Linked DNA regions of Tamandua tetradactyla. The protein of the gene in region 1 interacts with the protein of each later gene in a pairwise test. Links are inferred from orthologs where the notes say so. Each region holds a gene or a part of one and is shown on either strand. Other genes may lie near its edges. The genes, in order: EFS, SORBS2 and SH2D3C.

Region 1 (7,687 bases):
ACCACTATGCTCACAGAGTTGTAAGCACTGGATGAGGTAATGTATGAAAAACCCATGACAAAGCTTAGCATAGTACCAGCTGTAGCTCAATACATATTAGCTATTTTAGGATCATTAGGGTTCTGTGAGTTTGAATTTGATTAGCATATGAACCCTCCTCACCCACCCCGGGGGTAAAAGGAAAAAAACGGAAGTTTTTTGGGGACTACAAAGAATGATAATTCTATGCTTCTCTTTCCAGTTTCACAATCTTTCCCAGAGTCCCTATGCAGAGAGGGCCAGAAAAATGGTGGCAGTCTCACTTTCCCAGGGCCTAGGAAAGGGTGGAGAGGGGACAGAATTGCCTGGATTAAGGCTGCATAGTGTGAAGGGCAGAAAGTAGAGGTGGGGCTCGTGGAGTGCTCCTCCCCGTGCTGGGTTTGAATTCTGTCCAATGGGGCCAAGCCTCTGGGCTTTGGGATTGCAGGAACCCAGGCCAGAGTTGCTGATAGACTGACTGATGATGGGTGGGGTCCACCCTGCTCTATCCCCTCTTCAAGAGCCCAGCTGACGGGTGGGGGAATTGCTGGCTTAATGGAGGTGGCAGTGGGCCATGTGCTCTCTGGAAGGTTTCCTCCCACTCTCCCATCTTGCCAGCTGTCTCCTCCCTTTGTCCCTAGTCCCCGGAAAGTGCCCTAAGGCTGGCTGACATCACCTCCCCCTCCCTCTATTTTCTCTTTCTCATTCTTTTTCTACTTTCTCCCTTTACTCCACCCCTCCTCTAGAGAAGAGATGCCTTGGATCTTTTGGTTTCTCCTGTTTGCGTTGAGCCACCTCATCCCCTCCCAACCTTTTACTAGCGTCCCAATCACAAGCCCTTGACAACCACAAGTGGCCATCTGTTCCCGCCCTAAAAAGAGCAGACAGGACTCTGGTCACTCTTGCCCCCGCCCCTCGCTCCCGAAGCAACCTCTAGGGGAAAAAAAAAGAGAGAGAATGGGGAGAGGGAGAAGAGGAGGAGGGGCAGCCCCAGAGCCAGAGAGAGAAGCAGGGGATGAAAAGTAGAGGGAGAGGGGAACAAAAGTGAGAGGAGGGGAACACAGCTTCTCTGAGAAGAAAGGGACCAAAGAGAAAGACAAAGGGAGGGCTGAAATAAAAGTGACAGGAGGCTCTGGAGGCCCTGCCCGACAGCCTCTTTTCCCTGGTGGACTCACCGACGTGGCTATGGCCATGGCCTCGAACTCCCGCGCCTCCTGCTTCAGACCAAGCTCGGTTTCGCTGACTTCAGCAGCCGCGGCCGGGCTCCATGGTCCACGGCCTCCAGGCGAGGAGGCGGGTCCCGAATGCGGCGCCTGAGTCGTGGCCTCCGCCGAGGTGGGAGGAGGAGAAAGAAAACCCACAAAACTCCCCAAATGGGAGGCAGTCTGGCCCGGCAGGAGGAGGAGCGGGTCCGGCCGGGGCGTCGCTACGGGCCCTCATCCAAGGACGAGCACTCTGCACGGTCGCCGCGGCCTCCCGGGGGCCGCCGGGTTGGCAGGGCCCCCGGAGCTGCCTGCCCTAGGCCGCGGAGGCCCCCGGGGCCCGCATGAACCGATAGCTGCTTTCCACAGTCGGGGCAGGCGAGGAGGCGGGTGCTGGAGCTGCGCTCGACGCTTCCCCAGGCCGCTCGGGGCCGCCCCGAGGGCTGGGAGAGGCCGCCGGGGCGGTTGGGCCGGGCGAGCAAGTTTAGGCGCCAACCCTCTCCACCCGGGGGCCGCGCCGGAGAGCCGTGTTCCCAGGGCTGTGGCCGGGGCGGCTGGAGGGGAAGGAGAGAAAGCGAGAGCTGAGTTGTTTGGCCTTCTTCAAATTTGCCCAAGTTGGCGAAAAGTGGCCGGGCTGACGCCAAAGGCCTCCGAGAGCGTGACCCTTGGGCCGGGTTGCTGCTGTCGGCCCCGACCCTCGCACCCCCAGAAGTGAGGCGCATTCACGCACGCACTGTCACCCTCAGCACGTCCGAGGGCCTTGGGGACGCCGCGACGGCGCCTGGCCTGGGGCTGCGGGGCCTGCCGAAATCGGCTTGCAGGCACGGCTCGCGGAGGCCGCTCGGCCTCACCAACCCTACTGTCCTGGCAGCAGAGAAGCCCGCGCCCCCTCCTCCCCTCGGCTCCAGTGCGCACGGCCACGCGCTCGCGCTCCCACCGTCGGCCCGCCGGCCCGCCGGCCCCGCTCACACGCACCTTTGGGAGAGCCCCTCGGCGCGCCCAGAGCGCGGGGCCGCCCCCAGGTGTCTTTAGGGATGAAGAGAAAGGCCACAAAGCAAAAGAAGCCGCAAAGATAAAGCGAAGGACAGGCAGGAGCCAGGGTCCTGTGGGCTCCCTGAGGGTGGGTTCACTGAGAGGGCCCCAACCCGAAGCAGGCGATGTGGGAGGACTCCGAGGGTCGCGCGTGGTCCCCAGGCTCACCCTCCACCCCACTCGCGGCTCCCCTTTCCTCCCCTCCCCGGGCTCCCGGTTCCCTCTCCGAGCGGTCCTTCCTCCTCCCCTCGGGCCTTCTCCTCCGGCGCTGGGCTCAGTCCTGGGGATTAAGAGAAAGGAGGGAGGGGAAAAGGGAGGAGGAGGGAGGGGGCGGAGGAGAAAGGACTATCCCTTCAAAGGCGGGTGTTGAGTTTCAGCCCGGGACCTTGGGGCCAAACTGCACGCCCCCTCCCGGCCCCTCTGCTCTGTGCCTCCTTCCATCCGACTTCGCCGCGGACCTCCGGGTGGTCTGGTCAGCTTCTTCCGAGAAGCTATTTTCTCCCCGCCACGCCCCCGCCTTCCCCCGCCAGCCCCGCGCGTCTCTCTGCCTCCCTTTCATTAGCCCCACATCTGTCTTTCCCCGAGGGAGGGAGAGCGCCCGCCTTCCGCCTTGCTGGGATCCTCAGCGGAGCCTCTCCCCTCCCTTGGTGCTGCTTCTGTCTGGGTGGCAGGGTTATTCCGGCCGTTTCTGCGGGGAACACACCGGGAGTCTAAGGCTGGACATGGATTCTGGCCCTGGCCAGAGGAGAAGAAGCCTGAGCCCCAGAGCGGCAGGCGGGCCGGTTGTGCAGCCTCTTAAGCAGCCCTGCCAGTCTGGGCCTGCCTCCTTCCGCCGGGCCGCCAGGAGCGGGAGTGGGGACCGTCGGCAAAGAAGGGCAGAACTCTTTCAGAGGGGCTGGGAGTTGGCCTTCCAGGAGTTTCAGCTGAAAGGACGCGGCTCTTTTAACCCCCACACCTTCTTCCCCTCTGTTACTCCTCAATGTGCCCTGCCTCCCGCCAGCCGCTTCCCTCTGGGGTTCTTCCTCCTGGGTAGAGGAAGACCTCCCAGAGGCTTCAGGGAAACTGCTGCTTCCAGTTTTCCTCCCCTGGTATTGGAAAAAGGAGATGCTAAACAGGTTTAAAAGCTATAGTGTATTTTCAGTGTTTACATTTAACAAATTAACGCTGCAAAACACATAAAATGGACAATGACTCTGAATGACCTCATTTGGAGATGACAGCAGAAATGTAAATTTAAGGCTTCTTGTGAACTTGAGGTCTTGGACGAATATTTCCCTCACACCACCTGTTTCACAGGCCCATACATGGAGGCATTTCCCAGGAGGTGGGGAGATACCTGCTTCAGCTCCTTCCCCACCCTATTGCCTGGGCACCTGTGAGGACCAGATTCTGGGGTGAGCGTGGGGATGGATGATGTTAGGTCTATGCTTGGCTTAGAGTTGGGGTGCAGACCTGGGTATGGGGCTGGGAATCCTGGACAGACCCAGACTCTTTTAAGATGATATAAGAACTTTTAAATTTCCAGTTACACCTTGAAGGGAGCACTCCCCCATCCCAGCACCACCCTGATCTGATGTGGCCAACAGGGAAGGGAAGGCTCTTCAACCTCCTCCAGAGCTAGTGCCAGGGGGAGTGGGCTGCCTGGAACATTCCTCTGCTGGAGAGGGACTAGGTGTGGTCCCTACCCATGAGACTGCCAAGGCAAACTGGGCCCGAAGGTCAGGTGGGCAAGAAAGCCTGGTCCCAAAGACGAACACACCGACTGGAATAGGAGAAATAAATGGAAGCCAGGAAAGGCTAAGCGGGAGAGAAGCTGCTAGGACCAGGCAAGACTGGAGGCTTGGGAGATGGGCAGTGATGTAGCCCAGTGCCTGGGGAAATATCGATGAGAATCCTCAGAGGACAAACCAGGAGGAAAATTAGACTGTACTTCTCGAGCCCCTGGGCACAGAATGGAGCCAGATTCATATCCACAGTCAGACGTGGATATGAATCCCAGTTTCTAAGCTATGTGACCTCGATCAAGTCACAGAACAACACAGTCCCCCTCTGTAGCAATGACTCTGGTAAGGAGTAAAATATATCTAGAATGCCTAGCACGGTGATTTCCTTCCATGTCTCTGCCTCTTCTCCTTGGTCCCCCCTCTAACTTGTGCTTATATAGTAGCTGAAAATGTGTTTCCTTGTGAGGACAGGTGGAGCCTTTTCCCTCCTTCATGCCTCATCTCTGCCCTCTCCTTCACAAGCAGAAGTTAAGGTGATAATAGCTCGTTTAGAAAAAACTCTGGACTCTAGGTATGACTGGAGAAAACCCAGGCTGGGTGAGTAGCTAAGTCCGTAGATGGGCTGCAGCCTCAGGCAGCTGGGCCTTCAGATTTGGGGTCTGCCCTTGGCACGTGCATGGGTTAGGAAGGAAGGAACCCCTCCATCCGACTTTCTGGGACACAGTCTTCTCTTCCATTCATTCTCTTTCCCAGTCAAGTCTGACTAACTGGTCTCTTTCTCACCTCCCACCCATGACTTCCTGGACCTGATTTTGTTCCTCTTGCTACCCAAACCTTCTCCGGTGCTCAGGAATTCTTTCCCAACCTCTTCAGTCCTTCTCTCTTTGGATCCCCACAACACCTGGATTGCCTGGGTTCTAATCCTGGTTCCGACTCTGACTGTGTAACCTTGGCAAGTTATGTGGAGCTTTCAGGATTGTGTCTGGAAAATGGGGATAATAATGGAACTTATCACATCAGCTTGTTGTGAGCACTAGGAGTTAGTATTGAACGCTGAGAATAGTACATGGCTTATGATATGTAAGTGTTGGATAAAAGCAGCTATTATGATCATTTAATGCCAGCCCTGTGTGGGTAACAGAATGTCAAGGACACGCTGCCTGTCCTTGAGAAGTTCAAGTCATGTAGGTCATACTTGAATTCAGTCAATACCTTTCCAGTGACCTTGGAATAGACTCTAGATGTTCCACCAGAGCCTGTAAGATCCTGTGTGATCTGGTCCTTGCCCTCTCTTCCCACCACATCTATCCCATTCTCCCCCTTACCCTTGACTTTCCATCCACACTGTCCTTTCTGGTTCTCAAATACACTGAACTCTTTATCACCTCTAGGAATGCATATCCTGCTCCTTCTGCCTAGAACACTCTTTCCCCAGACCCTTTCCATCATCATGTCAAACTTGATATCCTCAGAAAGGTCTTCCCTGGCTTTCCAGGTTAAAGTTGTCCCCTCCCGCACTTCCACTGCAGTAACCCTTTATCTCATAACACCATTTCAACACTTACCACTACCAGAAATTATCTCGTTTCCTTGTTTATCATCTGTCTCCTCCTAAAACAAAAACCACACAAGACAGGGACCTTCTCTGACTTGTCCTCCTCTGCATTCCTAGAATTTAGAAAAGTGCCTGGCATGCAGTAGTACTCCATAGATATTTGGTGAATGGATTAAAGAACAAAACAGCCATGGCTGTAGGGCAAAGCTGAGTAAGCCCAGGGCCCTCCTTGGTGAGGCACCAGCCCTGGCCTGGGGAGAGGGTATTGCCAGGCTCTTTGTGCTGTTCACTCTGACCATCTGTGTCATCTCCCAGGCCAAACTGGGTTCTCCTTGAAGGCAGGTTCCTGAACCTAAGCATCTTTGGTGCCAAAGGTGACATTCAAAATATTTAGCAACCAGTACCATGATCACATACCAAACAGGATGAGGTTCAAGGAGCAAGCTGTACCAGTTGCTCACCTTTTAGTTATTGCATCACAGGGAGGTTTTGGCAAGGAGATGTCCCAGGAGGCTGAGGCCAGCATCTTTTTACCAACAGGTGCAAAAGTATTTCAACATTTTAGCAATCAGTGCCAAGTTTCACATAAGATGGGTACAGACGGGCCTCAATAGAGCCTGCTGAGTCTTGTGGCTTTCAGCATTATTTCAGGAGCTGAGGTCCACAGCAGCTCAGCTGGTTGGCTCCTTTGTGCCCTTCTGGTCACTCCTCTCCCCTAACCACCCTCCACCCCCATCCCCCGATGCTTTTACAGATGAAGAAGAAGGACCAGATGGGGCCCAACACCAAGAGCTGGTCAGAGGCAGAGTCAGGGCATCAAGGCAGCAGATGAGGAATTGCGTGTCCTTTGGGGAAGGGGCAAGGCTATTATTTCCAAGAGCCTTTTCCAGGCCAAGGGTGGGAGGTATATTCCATCATGTCCTCCCTGCCCTTTCCTGCTAGGCACTGATCTCTTTCCTCAGGGCGGTGGAGCTGGGAATACTAGCAAGCCCTCTCTGCTGCCAAGTCAGTTCCAGGTAGGTGGGGACATGCTGGGAGGGGACCCTTGATGTCAGACGCTGGCACACTTTGCTTTGCACCTGCCTCCAGCATTCTACTCGCTGCCACTTTTGTCTCCTACGTCCCCAAGCATTCCCTGGAATTTGAAGTGACTCAGGAATTCCAAAACCAGTCACCCCAGGAGGAAAACCCTCTGGAAAATGTTTCTCATGGCAGGTTTCCCACAAAGCTGCTATCGAGATAAGGGCAGAGGCTGAGCAAATGGGGTGAGGTAGGGACATGTGGCCCAGAGCACAGGTTCTGGGGTCATGCCTGGTCTTCAAGAAGGGCCTGGTACAGAGGTGGGGGACACTCCAGAGGCTACTTCTGAAGGGCAGTGTCCCCAGCAACCCAGTCTGTGTCCTTTTAGCACTGTCAGCAAGTGAAATAAGTAGCCAGGATCACTTCCAGCTCTTTCGAGCACCCTCTCCTAGCTGGAGGCCAAGACTGGGAGATCTGGGTCAAGGTCAGGCTCCAATTCTGCTTCCGATTGGTTTGGGTTCCTGCTCTTCTGAAATAGCACTGCCCCCTAAGGTCTGTTCTGGCGTTGGTGGCTGCTCAGGAATACCAGAAGCCACCCTGGGGACCGTACCTCAGACACTGGGGAGCGGGAAGCTGGAGAAGGGAATCCCAGCTTCCAGGATTGAACGCCTAAGGGGGCAGGAATGCCCGATGGCCTCGGGCAGGTTCAGATGAGTAGCAAAGCATTTGCTGCAGGGGCTCCCCTTCCATTCATAGCCAACCATGGGGCAGCACAGTGTGACATTCCCAAGCCAGGAGCTTATACTTGGGATTGATTAGGGCTGGAACTAAAAACCATCCCTGTCTTTTCCTAACTGTGTGAACTTGGGGAGGTTTCTGAATTTCTTTGGGTCTCGGCTTCCTCATTTGCACTATGGGGCTAACAGTTTCCTTCTCATGGCTTTATTGTAAGGATTAATGAGATGATCCATGTACAGGGCTTGGCACTCCTGGCACTTGGAGGTGTATGAGAGCCGAGGCCAGCAGTTCATGGCAAAGAGAGGATAACTGGGAGCCCAGGGGACAGGGGATGGGGCAAAGGGAGCAGGCTGTTGATATTCCTGGTCTCACTGCTCTTCCTAAGTGCCCCTGCTCTC
Region 2 (7,998 bases), on another chromosome or scaffold:
TTCCACCAATATATTTGACACCACCTTGGGAGAACAAACAAAAGGCATACTGTCAAGCGGACAGACCTGGACAAAATGTTACTGTTTGTTCTTCACGAGCACCGGGGTATATTTAAGCAAAGAAAGACATTCCAGCACTCTCCTGAGACTTCCTTCCTTCAGCTGAATTATACCAACATGTTCACGCTGCTGTGGTTCAGCTGTGTTGGAATTTAAAATGCAGACTTCTATTTGCCCATGCTTAAATGCCAAGGCTATAAACATTCATATTAGGCTTGAAACTGGCTTTTAGGTAGCATAGAACAAGTGGGAGTGTGTCCAAAAAAAACGTGGGTACGTTAAGTTGCAGTAGAATACTTGCAAAAAGGGACTGCCCTTGTTGGACAGACTCTATGCCTATACAATAAAGTCTCAAAGTCTCCAGAAGTCACCTGGCTTTGGATTAGGTTTCAAATCCGGGCTCACTGACATTCATGAAACTTTTGGCAAACACGGGCCAAGTTTCGGGCAAGGGCGGGCAGAATACTTCTTTCATAGGGAGGCTGTGTGAAACCCGGTGGCTTTCGTTAGGTTTCACCTTGAGTTTCACATTCAAACAATCCAAAGTTTCAAGGTAAAATTAAGGGATGAAAAGAAATGGGGGGGTGGGAGTGGACAGGAAAGAAATGGCCATCTACCATCTTCCAAACCGATTCCACCCTAGTGCCACCTGACTCTGCAACTGAATTTGCATTACCTTTCAGCAACACATGTGCCCCAAGCACTTGCCAGAGGAGGAATTCCCAGTACTACAGTAGGGTGGGGTTGGGGCGCGGGGGAACTCTTGGAGATTCCCAAAGGCTTGGGAACATTAAGAAACATGCTTAAAATAGCTGGAGGATATGAAATGATGACTGCACACAGAAATAGGATGATTCATATGCTCCTTTTAATGTGGATTTGAAGGGGAAAAAGTAGTAATTAAATGGCCAATGTTGGGAATAAACTATTAGCCTGAATAGCTCTAGGTTTTCTTACTCTTAATCGGAATCCTTACAGATGAAGTCGCATCTTCTCCTAATCTGGAGGAGCTCTCCAAGTGTTTTCCATTGCTCTGCCCTTTTGAAAATTGTCCTGCTGCCACTTGCTTCTTTCCTTCCTAGCAAGGCGGTCTCAGCCTTTAGGGAGCCACAGCCCTTGACTAGTGCTTAAAAAGTCTCCTGATGGGATTAAGTTCATTCTATTCCTAACCCTCAACTCAACATGCAGGGACAGTTGGCCAAGGAATATCAACCTTGGTATCTGACTGAGGGCTTTAGAAATACTCTGTGCTTGGGATAGGGAAGAAAAGGCAAAAAACTTAAATGCAGTATATACATGAATTTTCTTTGAAATGAAGAGGACATTTAAACATCGACAGAATGCCTAGATGGTATTACATTTTGCTATTTTAGGAAATACTTTTGTTTTTCCATCCCCTTACCCTCATACAACAGACGTTCCACCAGTTGTATGAGTTTTTCTCTTTAGTTGTCCTTTTTTTAAAATTTAATTTTCTTTTCTCTCTCTTTTCCTTTCTTTTTGTCACCCCAGAGATCGCTGTTTATTTTAAATGCATGTTTTCTTTTGACATGTGGTCTGTGAGACCAACAAATTTTTTCGGAGAGAAAGTCTTTGAATTCCAAGGGTTTCAGTGTTCATGTTAGAATATGCAACAGTTAGGCCTCAAGGCACACAGTAATTTGGGGGTAGCAGAACATTCAAATGAAGGGTTGATAAAATCTCATTCTGTGCACTGTCATTTGCTGCCTGCTTTTAGACATCTGTTTGGTGTGGAGCAGTGAGTTGTTTTAAAGTCTCTTTGGCAAGAGAATCATCTTGCCATAAAACAGTATTTTCCCTTTCATCTGGGGGCAACTATCAGTAAAACTTAAAGTTGTATCAGTAAGCAGTGAGGAAAACCAAAACCCCAACAAATAATTTAAAGGAAATACTATCAAAGCACTAACCTCCTCCCCACTAAATAAAAAGACTTTTTTACTGAACATAGTAAATACCCACAATCAAAGTAAATGCTGTGTTTGAAGTTAAAGTCCACAGATCAAAGTCCTTCGCAAAATGTCAAAGCACAAGTGTAATGAAGGGGAAAGAGGAGGCACAGAAAACGTTGGAAAATGTCATATTGTCACATTAGAGAAACCTGCCTGCGAACCTAACTGGCAAAAGAAATGCAGCTTAGATAAGGAATTCTTAAAACAGAGACACCTAAATTATGCTAGGCATATACCAAACAGAAAGTGCTCTAATTCCAAAATAGCAATTCACACAACAGTGACGATAAAAGAGAACAAAATATAATACAGCTATCTGGTCCTGAGAGAACAATCACTCCTATATTTCCTTTACTCAGGTGGTTGTATGTTTTTATTTTTTCAAATGCCTTTAGAACATTAAAAATCAGTAAGCAGCCTAAACAACAAAACGATGTCTGAAAAGCCCTCTTACTACCCTGGCACTCAGGTGTCATTAGAGTTTTGATCCTTTGCTGGGTCACAGTCACGTCTGCATGGCAGGTCAATATCATGAAAAACTTTAAGCAAAGTTTAGTTACAGCTACAAAAGTCCACAGATGCTGTTCCTATATTCAGGCATACAGTGTTCACCTGGAAATCGATGGCAGCCCCGGGCTTATTTTCAGCCTAAATAAGTTATTTAAAAACATGTGTCACAAATATACCATAAACCAATGAAAGAATTCCAGCATAAAACTCTTACCTACAAGCAGCTGGAGCTGAACAGTTGCTCTCAACAGAGGAAGTAGGAGTCACTGGCCTTTTACATGTAGAGATTGTTTATTTAGCCCTTTTTAAAAGGTCTTGAACTCCAAAGGTTTAAGATTAAGTCCGATCCAAGTGTCTGAAGGGAAAAAAAGGCAAGAGAGAAGGCAAATAAGAGGGGGAGAGAATCCCAGCTGCTGGGTGGTGCTACTGTTCCGAGAGCATTTAAGCTATTTTCAGCATTAACAGCAGCCGGACTTGTCTGTGAAGGGATGAAAATGCGGTGCCGGCCCAATAGCCTCTCCACCCACCCCAACCCCCTGGAGCGGGGAGGTACAAACCAGGAAACCCACAACAACTTGGTTCATTGTGCAAATATTCATTTAAATTTTGAGGAAAAGTGCCAGCACTATTGGGAAAAAAAGAAAAAAAAACTTTACCGGAATCTTAAAGAAACACAGCTCCTTGCCATAATGCCAAGTTTTGCAAAAATGATTTACCTGATTCATGGAAAAGAAGATGCTATAGTTATACCTTATTGAGAGTGAAGACCTTTCTTCTGATATGTATTTGCTTGTTTATATGGGTTTTAAAAACATTTTAAGTCTCTCTGGTTGGAATGGCCATTGTCAGCCTGTTCTTCTTAAGACTGAAGACAAATGGTTTATTTCTAGCACTCAGCTAAATCTCCAGTTTCATCAACTACGCTATTTTTGAAAGCTACTAGGTTAAGCTGTTGACATTTCTTATCGTGCTGGCAGAGGCTGGGGACCACTCTGTGACACGATGCTGACAGAACTGATCTCCAGTCTGCCTCCAAAGGCCAATGAAGAACTAATTTAGATTGGGTCACCAACTCTGGCCAGAAAACTCTGAGCTTTAATTTTGTTTTTAGAATGAAAAAATAAAGATCCAGAAGTTGAATGCATTCATTCATTCATCCAGCAAATATTTATGTGGTGGGCACGGCTGTCCTTATTATAAGCCAGGCATTTTGAAAATACAATAGTGAGCAAACAGCTTTTTTTTTTTTGCCTCTGGAGGTTTACAGCACACAAACACAACAAGAATAAAAAATGAAAAACAGGGTTTCCTTTTTTTTTGACAAACTTTCGCAACCTCATGTTCACAAGATGAGACTATTCAAACCCTTGTACAGGAAGATCCGATGTGTCATCAGAGCGATTCCTACCTTCCATGACTTCATTATGCCTTTGAGAACACCACTAAGAAGGAAAATTAGTTATTTCCTACCAAAGAATCACTTAATATTTTTGATAAAGGCATTTATTCCATGCAGATAAAAATCTCTGAATCATTTCAATTCCCTAATCCTCATAACAAGAGGATGATGTTTAAGGCAGTTCAAAGCATGGCTGAGGAAGTGAAACATTCTCTAATCTAAATCCAATATAAAAACTGCCTTGAAATATTTTATAATCATTATTATGGAGGCTAGTTACTGGATGCTCATATTGACTCTACTTTCTTCCTTGCAATTTCAGAAAGATACTGGAGTTGAATATAGAAAATATTGAGGATTACACATGACATGTAAAAGGGTTACATGACTATTTCAAGTACTGTAGTAAAATAGTGAAATCTTTCAACCCAATACACCTTATATTAAAACCATGCAGCTATTTAAATATATATATATATATAAAACGATAGCGTAACTTTGAAATACCCAATCAAATTTTAAAGTAAATCTGCTTTACCTAAAAAAAAATGCTTATTTTTTAAAAAGTCACTGTAGTATTATGCAATAGTCTGTTCATTTACCTTTCTTTCCTTTTTTTTTTTTTAACATGGGCAGGCACCGGAAATCGAACCCAGCTCTCCAGCATGGCAGGAGACAACTCTGCCTGCTGAGCCACCGTGGCCTGCCCTGTTCACTTGCTTTTAATAGTTGCATTTTAATTTCTTAAATACCTGCCAGTTTAAAATCTGATATTTATTTTACTTGACCACAATGTTAAATGGTAATACTGCTGGCAAAAATTGGAAAAGTCAAGCATCAGATAGAGAAAAAATTGTTTTTATTTTCACCTCCTTAGAATAATTTATAATAAGAAGGAAACACACTTTAAACTTGGCCTTCCTTAAGAAACTAGTTAACTAAACAAAGATTAACTATTTGATTACTAAGTCAACCATTATTTTTAAATTCTTAACTGCCAGCTTCTCACATCATTCCTAAAGGGAAGCCCATTTGCCTCACATTACCTTTTTAAATCATAGTCTGTCAAAGTCTGCACTTGCAAGGACAGGTTATAAGCCTGACATTTGTGTTCACTTAGGAGGAATCCTCTCCTGCCGGGTGACTCACTGAGGTCTCCTTTGTTCCCTTAGGATCCCAGACTGTCCAGGCAGCCTGTAAATAAGCCCCTTTCAACAGATGTCACTGAAGGGTGCAGGTTGGACTTTAGAAAATTAAAGGACACTAAATTTTGACTCTTGCTACTTTCCCAATTCCTGTAACTTCTTATCTTATAAGCTATTGATATCTTAATAATTGTAACTCATGGTAATGATTTTGTTAATATTCTTTTTATTAAAAACAAATAAATTGATTCAAATTAATTAGGAAATGCTGATATACATATTTTAAAATTTTCATTTATTTATTGATTTTTAACTTTTTCTCTCGTATAGTACAATATATATAGAAAGCAAAGAAACAAAAAAGCAACAGTTTTTTTTTTTCAAGGTCAGGAATTGGGAACATTTAATTAACAAAATACCTGCCATCTATTTTCAAAACCCATTCTGTTCTATCAGTCACAAAGCCAAATGGTGCAGAGGGCAGGAAATATATGTAAGATTTGCAATACTGTACCCTGCATTGTCATTGAGCTATATTATACAAAGATCTTCCAGTTTGATTGTGGGAAAACATGCAAAACAAATGAAGACAAAGCACATTTTATACCATTCATCTAGCTTATGTTAAATGACAAGCTGTTTGCACAAATGTCCATCAGATGAGAATATAGGCTGTTGTACTGAAGTAAAATGAGCAATACCTGAATGTTTTGTAGTCTAAACTCCACACATCTCTTCCATATCTGTTGACCAGGCAAACTGCACCAGTTGCTGCTTCAATTTATACCTCAATCTTTACTGTGTCCAGTTGGTATTTTGGCTTATTGGCTAAATTAACCTTCTCTGTCCGAGTGTGCCACACGAGAACCTTGGTGCAGTTATAAAGTAGCAGTTTTCAAAGCACTCCTCAACATGCAGCCACAGGACAGATCCAAGAGTCCACCATGGGCTACCACATGATCCTCCCAAAATGCTGATATTGGAGTGGGTTTCTAATATTACTGACAGATTGGAAATATGGCTTTGGCACAACCCCACCCCCATAGAAGATGGGGATAATAATAAGGTTGCAGTGGGGCTTAAACCATGCATGTAAAATGCCTAGCTGAGTAATGCCTGCCACATACAAGCACTGGATAAATTTGAATTTTTATCACTATTGTAAGTCTAGAACTCTGCTGGCCAATACGTGGCTATCTGTGTGTTGAGCATTTAACAATGTGCCTAGTCAGAACATAGAGGCACGTAAGTGTAATAATACGCACAATGAATTTTGAAGACAGTATGGAAAAGGAAACGTGAATAATCACATTAATTTTTTTTTTTTTTGCATGGGCAGGCTCCGGGAATCGAACCCAGGTCTCCGGCTTGGCAGGCAAGAATTTTGCCACTGAGCCACCATTGCACCGCCCCACATTAATTTTTAAAGATTAACTACCTGTTGAAATAATAATACTTTGGACATTCTGAGTTAAAATATTTTATGAGGAGTAATGTTAAAAAATTTAATACCACTCATTTCTTTTAAATGGCACTACTAGAAGATGTAAATACATGTGTATGGTTTGCGTTACATTTCTTTTGGGCAGCTATGTAAGCCAAAGACTCTGCAACCTTAGTGACATCGGAGTGACCTGGAGGTCTGTAGAAGCACAGGTTGCTGGGTCCCACCTCCTGGGTTTCTGATTCAGTAGGTCTGGAGACTTGAGTGGCTTGAAAATGTGCATTTCTAGCAAGTTCCCAGGAGATGCTTGAGCACACTTGGAGAACCATTAGTCTTAAGCCTTGTTGCTTAAGGCTTAAGTGTTTCACAGAGCAACATTAATGGCACCTGGGGTCCTGTTAGAAATGCAGAATCCTGAGGCCCCACCTGGACCTAATGAATCAGTAGCTGCATTTTAACAAGACTCCCAGGCTATGCGTCTGCACATGACAATTTTGGAGAAACGGAAACCAGCATCTTTCAACTCTGGTACGTAAGAGAATCATCTGGAGAACAAAAAAGACCAGTACGTTGGGCCTACCCATGGAGATTTTGATTTAATAGATCTGGAGGAGATCCAAGCATTTGCATATTTAAAAGTTTCCCCAGGTGATTCTAAGATAAAAGCAAGAGCTGACAGTTTGATGGCAGTGAGGCAGAACCGATACAGAAGAAACAGGGTCTGGAAACCAGACACACTCCTTCTAGTGAGGGTCAGACGCTTGGGGTTTGTCAGGTGCTGGGAGGGCAGGACAGGTGCCGGCGGTGGAGATGGTGGAAACCCGCAAGGGGCGATGAATGGGCATTGTAGCCAGCAGGACGTGCGTGGTAGCAGACACTAAAGGTCGTTTGAGGTCTGCCAGTAGGTCCCCAGCTGCTCCAGGTCTGGAGTTTCAGGGAAGGTTGGCTAAAGCAGAGCATAGTCTTGGCACCAGAGGATCCAGAACGTTAGGTAAATTATCTGAGCAGAGACACAGGTTCCAAGGAATCAGACAGAGTCTGGTCCAAGTTAACGGTGAGACCAGCCACCATGTTAACTTCGTCCTAAATTTCCTGAGTTTCTTAAGCTTTCCATAAGAACCATCTAGAGCAGGGATGATCCTTCAGACAGAGATGAAGAAGGAAAAGATGGATGGAAATGTTGAAAGCCAGTTTAGTTGTACACTTCTCTTCTTCAGTTGTACACAACAACAACTGAAACTGTTTTGAGCTAAGCATTGGTCTAATTAAAATATGGTTAAAAAAGACCTTAACCCTCTGGTATTTTCATCACACGAGAAGATCTTCTTGATCCAAATAACAAGGTGGTTGGCTCATGGACGTCCTGTATTGTCAAGGCAAGAGACCTTCTGTTATTTTCCATTATGCATTAGTCCCACCCTAAATAAGTGAGCTCACCAGCTTTGTTTAGTAGCTCCTCTGCATAACCTT
Region 3 (7,579 bases), on another chromosome or scaffold:
CAGGAGGCCTGCAGGGCGGCTTCATAGGTTTTACCCCTCACTGCCTGGCCTTGAGGCCTTCTCATGAGAAAAGGCAGGAACGGGTTTGGTGATCGTGGTGTCCCAAGAGGCCTGTTCTGCGCAGATCCCTGCCAGGGAGAGCCTTGAGAGTCAGGCTGAGGAGCCGGGTGTCCTCTCCTGAGGGTAACGTGGAGCTGGTGAGAATTTTTGATAAGAAGTGAGCTGGGGTCAGCTTCTTGGGCACACTGTTAGAAGCAGGGAGACCCTTGGCCAAATCAGGTGCAAGAGGGCAGAGAGGAAGATAATAGTTATAGTAATTACCATTTATTGAGGAAAAATAAATGTGCTAAGCCCTATACTTAAGGGAATTATCTCAATTCTCCCTGAATCTTATGAGGTACCTACTATTATCCAGCCTGGTGTACACATAAGGACACTGAGACTCAGAGGTGATGTCACCTGGCCAGGGTCAAATAGCTGGCCAGTGGCCTAGCTGGCATTTGAGCCAGGTTGGCATAAAGCCAAGCTCTTGCCCATGTCATGGTCTGCCCTTCTGGGCTGGGGGCAGAACTAGGGATGTGGACTGGATGCTGGATGGGAGGTGTGTGAGGACATAGTAGCAATACTATGAGGTCTGTCATGGGTCTATGTGGCCTCCACCATCAGGCCCTCAGGCTGGGACCTGCTGTCTCTTTCACACGAGCAATCCCATAAGTCACATCCTGTGGGCAGAAGCCTCAGCAGAGGTTCCGGTGGTGTTGTCACCTCTACTCCACCATCTGTGACCTGAACTTTCACATCTGCCAGTCACTTCCCTCAGGCTGTGGGCCCTGCCTGGAGAAGGAAGGCAGGCAGGGCATTGGGAGCCCTTCAGAAGGCTGCCCGGGCTTGGGGCCAGACATCACCAGAGCTGCCAAAACCCAAGTGAAGGTGAGAAGAAATTAGCAAGAAACAATTTCTAGACTTTGATTTCAATTTTGCTGGTCTGAGGAAAGTGTTTCCTGTATCCCAGGTATTCACTAAGCAGGCAAAGTGGGGCACGTGACTGGTAGTCAGTAAATGTCTGCTGAGTGACTGTCTGATCAGGCCCTGGGAACTCTGGTCCTGCTACCCATTTTATAGTTAGGGAAACTGACACATTAAGCAGGAAGAGAGTCACTGCTCAGCTGTTTGACCCTAGCCTGAACCCTTTTCCCACCCCTGAGCAGGGATGGGTAATGGGCATGTGGAGGGGAAGGAGAAGACAGATTCTTTGGGTAGGTTGCTCTTTGCATCTGGCACATCCAGAAAGACAAAGGATCTCTGGGGAGGGGGATAGAGGAGAGAAAACATCTGTGTGATGCCCACGGTCTTGTCAAACCATGGAAGTTTTGCCCTTACTGGCTGGGAACTAACTCTGCCTGGCCCTGTATTGACAGGCATCACCCTCCTGAAACTTTATAGCACCCCTCTTAGGAGGTATGATAATCAAGGCCAGGTTATATAAGAAGAAACAGGCTCAGAGATGTGAAATGACCTGCCCAAGGACACACAGCTAGGAAGCAATTGAGCTGGAATCCAAAGCCAGATGTCTTTTCTCTCAAAGCCTAGAGTGATTAACCATCATCCTACATTGCCCCCATTACCAGTCAATGGGGTCAACCCAGGGAAAAGCATCTATTGAGCACCTACAGTTTAGCAGGCATGGGGCCAATAAGTATGGGTAAGACCCATTCCTCTCTCAGGGAGCTTAAGGTCTGTTTGGAACATGCAAATAAAGACACACGTGGATGTAATAAGGATGATGATCTTGGTATAAATGTTTTATTTCACGGTCATACGAGAAACATCATATTTGCTCCATTTTAATGATGGGAAAAAGTGGCTCAGAACGGTGACATAACTTGCCCAAGGTCACCAAGGTGGGGACTGAACTTAGGTTTGCCTCAGTCCAGTACCTTTGATTATAACATTTAAGGCCTCCAATCCCTAATTGTCCCTGGCCAAGCTACAGGCTATTGGGTCATAGACTGGGGAAGAGGTGGCAGGAGTGAGGGACAGGAACCAGAGCAGGTTCTTGGGGGCACTGTAGCTAAAGATGGCCTTAGAGGTACTGGAAGGAGGCAAAAGATTGAACCAGTGGCAACAAGAGCAGCATTCGGGTGGGGCTTCCAGCCTAAGCAAAAGCCTGCAGGCGGGAAAGCTGCAGAGTGTGGGCTGGGCCGGGCTGGCCTCCAGCACAGGCTGAGAAGAGCCTGTGGGACAACCACCCGCCAGCAGGTCCCCAGCCGTGCTCCCAACGGCCACTCAAGGCAGTACAAAGAGGGGTCTGAGCTCGGCAGAGCTGCCACACTGAGCCCCATTCATCCTCCTAGAGATGTCGGCCACTGCCCTGGTGCCTGGGCCAACGGCAGGCCCAGACCCAGCACTGACAAGGCGCCTCTGCCACAGCAACGAGCCCCAGCCAGCCCCACAGCCTCCCAGTGGCCAGGACTCCTGGGTCTCACACCATGCATCTGCTGCCAGGGTTTTCCTGGCCTATGCCAGCCAGTCCCTTGTCGGAATTCTCGCATCCCTCAGCAACAACAGCCAGTCCTTGCCAAGGCCTGTGGCATGCTGGCCTTGAATGCTCCTAAGAACCCCAGGAGATGGGCCCTATAGAGGCCCCATTTCACAGATGAGGAAACTGAGAGCCAGAGAGGTAAAGTCTCCTGTGCAGGATCACACAGCAAGCCAGACTGGTTGATGGTACAGCTCCGACAGTTACTCCAAGTTACGCTAGAGTTGCCTCTGGGAAGAGTAGCTGAGAGATTTTACCTTTTATCTTCTGCTAGGAAGACCCTCGGCTCTGGTCAGGCTACTGGACCTTCTGAACAACCACCCAGATATGGGAGGGGCATTGGCCTGAGTGTCTGTACCGGGAGGCAGATGCCAGGGTCTACTTCACAAGCCTGTTGTGTGGATTTAAATGGATGATTATGGAGGCTTCCAACCACGTACCTGGCATACTCAGCACTCAGCAGAAGCAGCTGGGGTTGCACCACTCTTCTCCCAAACCCATGGCCCAGAAACCCTGTCCTTTCCAGTGGACCTTGACAGCTAGTCAGTTGACCAGGACCCTGCTGCCTTGGTCTCTGGGGCTGCATCCCTTTCCCTCTCAGGGCCTCGGGTTCCCATTCACACCATCAAGAAGATTCAGCCAGCCCCTCCTCCCACCAAAGCCAGTCGTCCAACTGCGGGTGGGGGCGGGGGCGACCATGGACGTGGCAGCTAGGAGCGCTACAGCCTCACCACTCAGGGGCTGTGGGAGTGTGGACAAGTGACGTGATTTTTCAGGGCTTAAGTTTCCACATCTGCAGAATGGGGACAATAGCAATAACATACACCTCTTAGGGCAGAAGAACTGAGCCCGGTGACCGGATTGTAGTAAGTGATGAGACATGAGTTGTCATTATGTTTATGAAGGATGGGGGAATCAGTCCCCTCTGACCTCAGATTCCCTCCTCCTCTCACAGTTCCAGTTGCCAGCCTGGGTGCCGGCGTAATAATGTAAAACAACGCCGGCGCCTCTGTGGGTTCACTGCATGCCATGCATTTGTCCCCATTCTAGACATTTGGTGACCAAGGCTTGAGAGGCAGAAATAACTTGTCAGCAGCACACAGAGCTGAGCTTTGAAGCCCCTGGTCTTGCTGCCCGCAAACCCTGGCAGCTACTGATCATCTCTGCAGGTCTCAGGAACAACCTGTGGAAGGGGAGGATGCATTTCCTTATCTCTGCCCTGCCCACGTGAGCCTGCCCATATACACAACAGAAGGTTGTAGGGTGTGAAAAGCACCAGGCTCTGAGTTAAGGGACCTGGAAGGATGAGTTATAACCCAACCTGTGCCAGGCCAGGCAATCCCTCCGCCTGCCTGTGTCTCTGTTTCTCCATCTCTGTATAATGGGCATTGTGAAGCAATATTCACAATGTCCTTGCTAGCTTGAAAACAAGTAACCATACCTTGTTGGGCATCAATTCTGTGCCAGGCTCTGCACCGAGCACTGGACCTTTGAGGGGCACTACAAGCCCCCCCCCCTGCCCCTTACAGAGAGGAACCTGAGTCCCCCGGGAGGTAAGTTCCCAGTACCAGATCACACACTGTGGCCAGCCAAGAGTGGAACTTGGGTCTTAGCGGTCCCAGAGCTCACAGGCCTAACTACAGCACTCTCCTACCTACTGGGTACAGTACATCCCTGAGGCACTGAAGTGGACACCCAGACCTGACTCCCCCGTGCCCTCATACCACCACCAGACCCCCTGACAGCTGTTGGAAGCCCCCCACCCCCACCCCCAGCGGCCCTGGGCCCACTGGGCTCTGTTCCCAGAGCCTGTGGTTTTGTTCCCCAGACCTTCCAGGTCCCATGGGTTTGTACTCTCCCCCCTGCCCCCACTATGAGGCCAAGAGGCAGCCCACAGGGGCCAGGACTGGGGGAGGCCGCCGCCCCCGCCCCTTGTGGAGAGGGTGGGGAGGGTGGGGCTGTGGGAGTTTCACTGGTTTAAAAATACACAGAGGAAGCGAGTGAGAGGACTCGAGAAAGGGGAAGGGGAGGTAGGGAGGCACTTCAATATTAATGTACAGAGCCTGGAGTGGCCACTCACCGGCTGGCTGGGGATTCTGTACCGCTCACCAAGATGACGGAGGGGCCCAAGAAAGCCAGCAGAAAGTTCAGTGAGTGTGGGGTTGCCGCTCGGGCTGCCTTCCATCTCTCTGTCTGTCCATCTCCGTCTCTGTCTCTGCTGTTTTTTTTTTTTTGCTCACTGTCTTGTTTTTGTTTCTCTTTCTTCATGCACCCCTGTCTCTCTCCAGAGGTCTCTGCTTCTGAGTCCCTGTGTCACCCAGCACCTCTCTCTCTTTCTGCCCCCAGCCAATTGGCTCCCCATCTCTGTGCTTCTCCCTTTGTCCATCTCTGTTTCTCTGTTTCACATCACCCTGCTGCTCTGTCCCCCTATTTGTCTGTATCTCTGTCTGTCTCTGGCTTTCTGACCTCATGACTGGGCGAGGGGAGACCCCCATGCCCCTCCCCTAGGCCTGGGTCTGTGTGGGATCTCAGGACTGCAGTTACTGGGTGGGGGTGTATCATGGGATGCTGCCCCATGCTCCCAGCAGCAGTAAGGCTGGAGCCCAGCACTCTGGCAGGGTAAGAGCCCACAGCTACTAGAACCAGGCTCCTGGGCGAGGGGCCAGACCTGCTTCCCCTGCTTCTCTAGGTTGGTCCCATTGTGCAGTCACGCCTCTGATTCCTATGATCTGACAGCATCAGGGCGGGAGGTGGAGAAGCGGTGTACAGGGCAAGGGCTATGGCTCCGTTCCACAGATGGGAGTAATGAGGCCCAAAGAGGACCCTAGACTAGCCCAAGATCATACAGGACCATAGAGCAGACTGAATCCTGGACCCTGGACCCTGAGACTTAGTTTCACTTCCTGTCCCGACTATTGTCCCCAGAAACTTAGTGGCCAAGAGACAAAGCAAGTGGTGCTGAGGGAAGAGGCGGTTGATGGTCCTTCTCCTGGCCATTGGCACAATTTCTGCCCCATGGTACAGCTGAGCGCAGGGCGTCAGAATCTCCTAACAGCATTTCTCAAGAGGCAGAGGCTAAGACCAGGTAGGTGGCTGGCAGGGCAGTGAGGGAAGCCCGGGAGCACTAGCCCAGGAGTCCAGAACCCTGGCTTCTAGTGTAGGCTCAGCCAATGCCTTGCTGTGTGACCCTGAGCAAGTCCCTTTCGGTCTCTGGGCCTCAGTTTCCTGGGGGCATCCTACCTATATCTCAAGATGGTTGTGAGGACATGAGGAGGCAAAGGATTCTGAGGAAGTAGAAAACGCCAGGGTTTTCCTCCTCGTTCATGTGGGTGATAGAGTAGTCTGATGGTGGTGGCTGCCAGAAGGGACAGTCCAGTAGTTGGGGGCAGGGAGAAAGGAACTCACACACACACCCCTGCGGAAGTGAGGAGATGGTATCACCCGAGCACTGCAGCCTGAGTCAGGAATGTGGGCTCAGCTGACAGGAAGGAGAAAACCACAGACAGTGAGACCCTCAGGTTCCTGACACCTCCTTCTCATTTCATCCCCACCCCAGGTACATGAAGGATGGCTCAATCCCCATCCCCACCCCATACCAGCTGTCTGACTTCGGGAAGTTAATTTCAGTGCTCTGAACTTGTCTCCTCATCTGAAAAATGGGGAATTGAACTTGTGTTTGTCATTGAGTTGTGCTGAGAATTCAATGGGATAAAGCTTGCAGCATACTTGACAAATGTAGAGGCATTCATCATAATATTCATAATAATTAGCACCATCATCATCATCACAAGTTGATACTTTGCTACTTCTTATTAAGGCTATTTTGCATGCCAGGCATCCTGCTAAGCATATTATTTACATACTTTCCTTCAATCCCCTCACTGCCTGTAGAAGATAGGTACTATAATTCCTGTTTTACTGAGCTGGAGAATGTAGCTCAGAGAGGTCAAGTGACTTGCCTAGATCACACAGCTAGGATGTGGTAGAGCAGGGCCTCCAGCCCAGGGGGCTTTGTGACCACAAAGCCACCATGTTTTATCACTTTCTGGGAGTGTGATAACAATTGGAGAGGGTGTTATGAAGCCCCCAACTCTCCTTGGGCCTTTAGTGAGTGGAACTGCAGGTATTTTTAAAATTATTATTGCTGTTGGCATTCACTCCATTCTCCCCCACCCCCCACCCCACCAGAGTTCTTCAAGTTCAAGGGCCTCGGGAGTCTCTCCAACCTCCCTCGGACCTTCACTCTGCGACGGTCCTCAGCCCCTGTCAGCATCCGGTCCCGTCTGGAGCCTGACACCTTCGAGGCCACGCAGGATGACATGGTGACAGTCCCCAAGAGCCCCCCAGCCTATGCCCGCTCCAGCGACATGTACAGCCACATGGGCACCATGCCCCGCTCCAGCACCAAGAGGGCTCGGGACCGACAGGCCAGCCAGGAGGCTCAGGAGATGGACCCTGAGTCCCATGTAGTGCCCCGACGCCTGCCTGATCCCCCAGGCTTGGAAGCAACCAAGGAGGTGGTAGAGGCCAACGCCCCCCTGAAGGACACCCCAGCAGCGGGGTCCAACCCTTCAGCTGTGGAGGTGGACCCCATAAGAAAGCCTGAGGTCCCCAGGGCAGACTTGGAAGAAGAGAGACCTCCCAAGGATATGCCCCCAGAGAGGTAGGTGTCTACCAAGGGCAGGTGAGTGCAGCACCTGCTGAAACAGTAACTCCAGCCTCCTGCCAGTATAGCCCCAGGGAGGGCCCCCTTCCCACCCACAATCCTGCACACTACCCAAATGCTTACCATGGACCAGCTGCTGTGCTAAATCTTTCACTTGCAATTAATTCTCAAAAATCTCAGTGAGGTAATACTATTATTATCTCCATAGCGAGATGAGGAAACTGAGACTCCAGAAAGGAAAGTCATCTGTCCCAGGCTGCACTTGAACTGAAGCCCAGGTAGCATTTGAACTGAAGCCCACCTGACCCCAAAGCCCTAGACGGCCCCCAGCCTGGGTCCTTAGTTGCTCTTTGGGCACTGCAGCCCTGCCCAGG

What was found.
Region 2: the proteins of EFS (region 1) and SORBS2 interact in binary tests that used the Homo sapiens proteins (3 or more experiments, as listed by UniProt). The two-hybrid records come from large-scale screens. The link is inferred for Tamandua tetradactyla from reciprocal best matches to the Homo sapiens genes EFS and SORBS2.
Region 3: the proteins of EFS (region 1) and SH2D3C interact in a two-hybrid assay, tested with the Homo sapiens proteins (2 studies listed by BioGRID and IntAct). The two-hybrid records come from large-scale screens. The link is inferred for Tamandua tetradactyla from reciprocal best matches to the Homo sapiens genes EFS and SH2D3C.

What each region holds. Positions count from the first base shown.
Region 1 is NC_135340.1:31,523,359-31,531,045, reverse strand, and holds the start of EFS (embryonal Fyn-associated substrate), read right to left. Parts: upstream 3,074-7,687; 5' UTR 2,421-3,073; exon of another isoform or gene 2,196-2,420; intron 1,775-2,195; 5' UTR 1,212-1,774; coding exon 1,194-1,211; intron 1-1,193. UniProt on the Homo sapiens protein: Docking protein which plays a central coordinating role for tyrosine-kinase-based signaling related to cell adhesion. May serve as an activator of SRC and a downstream effector. Interacts with the SH3 domain of FYN and with CRK, SRC, and YES.
Region 2 is NC_135352.1:26,657,270-26,665,267, reverse strand, and holds the start of SORBS2 (sorbin and SH3 domain-containing protein 2), read right to left. Parts: upstream 3,091-7,998; 5' UTR 2,755-3,090; intron 1-2,754. UniProt on the Homo sapiens protein: Adapter protein that plays a role in the assembling of signaling complexes, being a link between ABL kinases and actin cytoskeleton. Can form complex with ABL1 and CBL, thus promoting ubiquitination and degradation of ABL1.
Region 3 is NC_135328.1:50,623,073-50,630,651, reverse strand, and holds the start of SH2D3C (SH2 domain-containing protein 3C), read left to right. Parts: upstream 1-4,541; 5' UTR 4,542-4,652; coding exon of another isoform or gene 4,653-4,689; intron 4,690-5,464; 5' UTR 5,465-5,554; coding exon 5,555-5,624; intron 5,625-6,727; coding exon 6,728-7,202; intron 7,203-7,579. UniProt on the Homo sapiens protein: Acts as an adapter protein that mediates cell signaling pathways involved in cellular functions such as cell adhesion and migration, tissue organization, and the regulation of the immune response.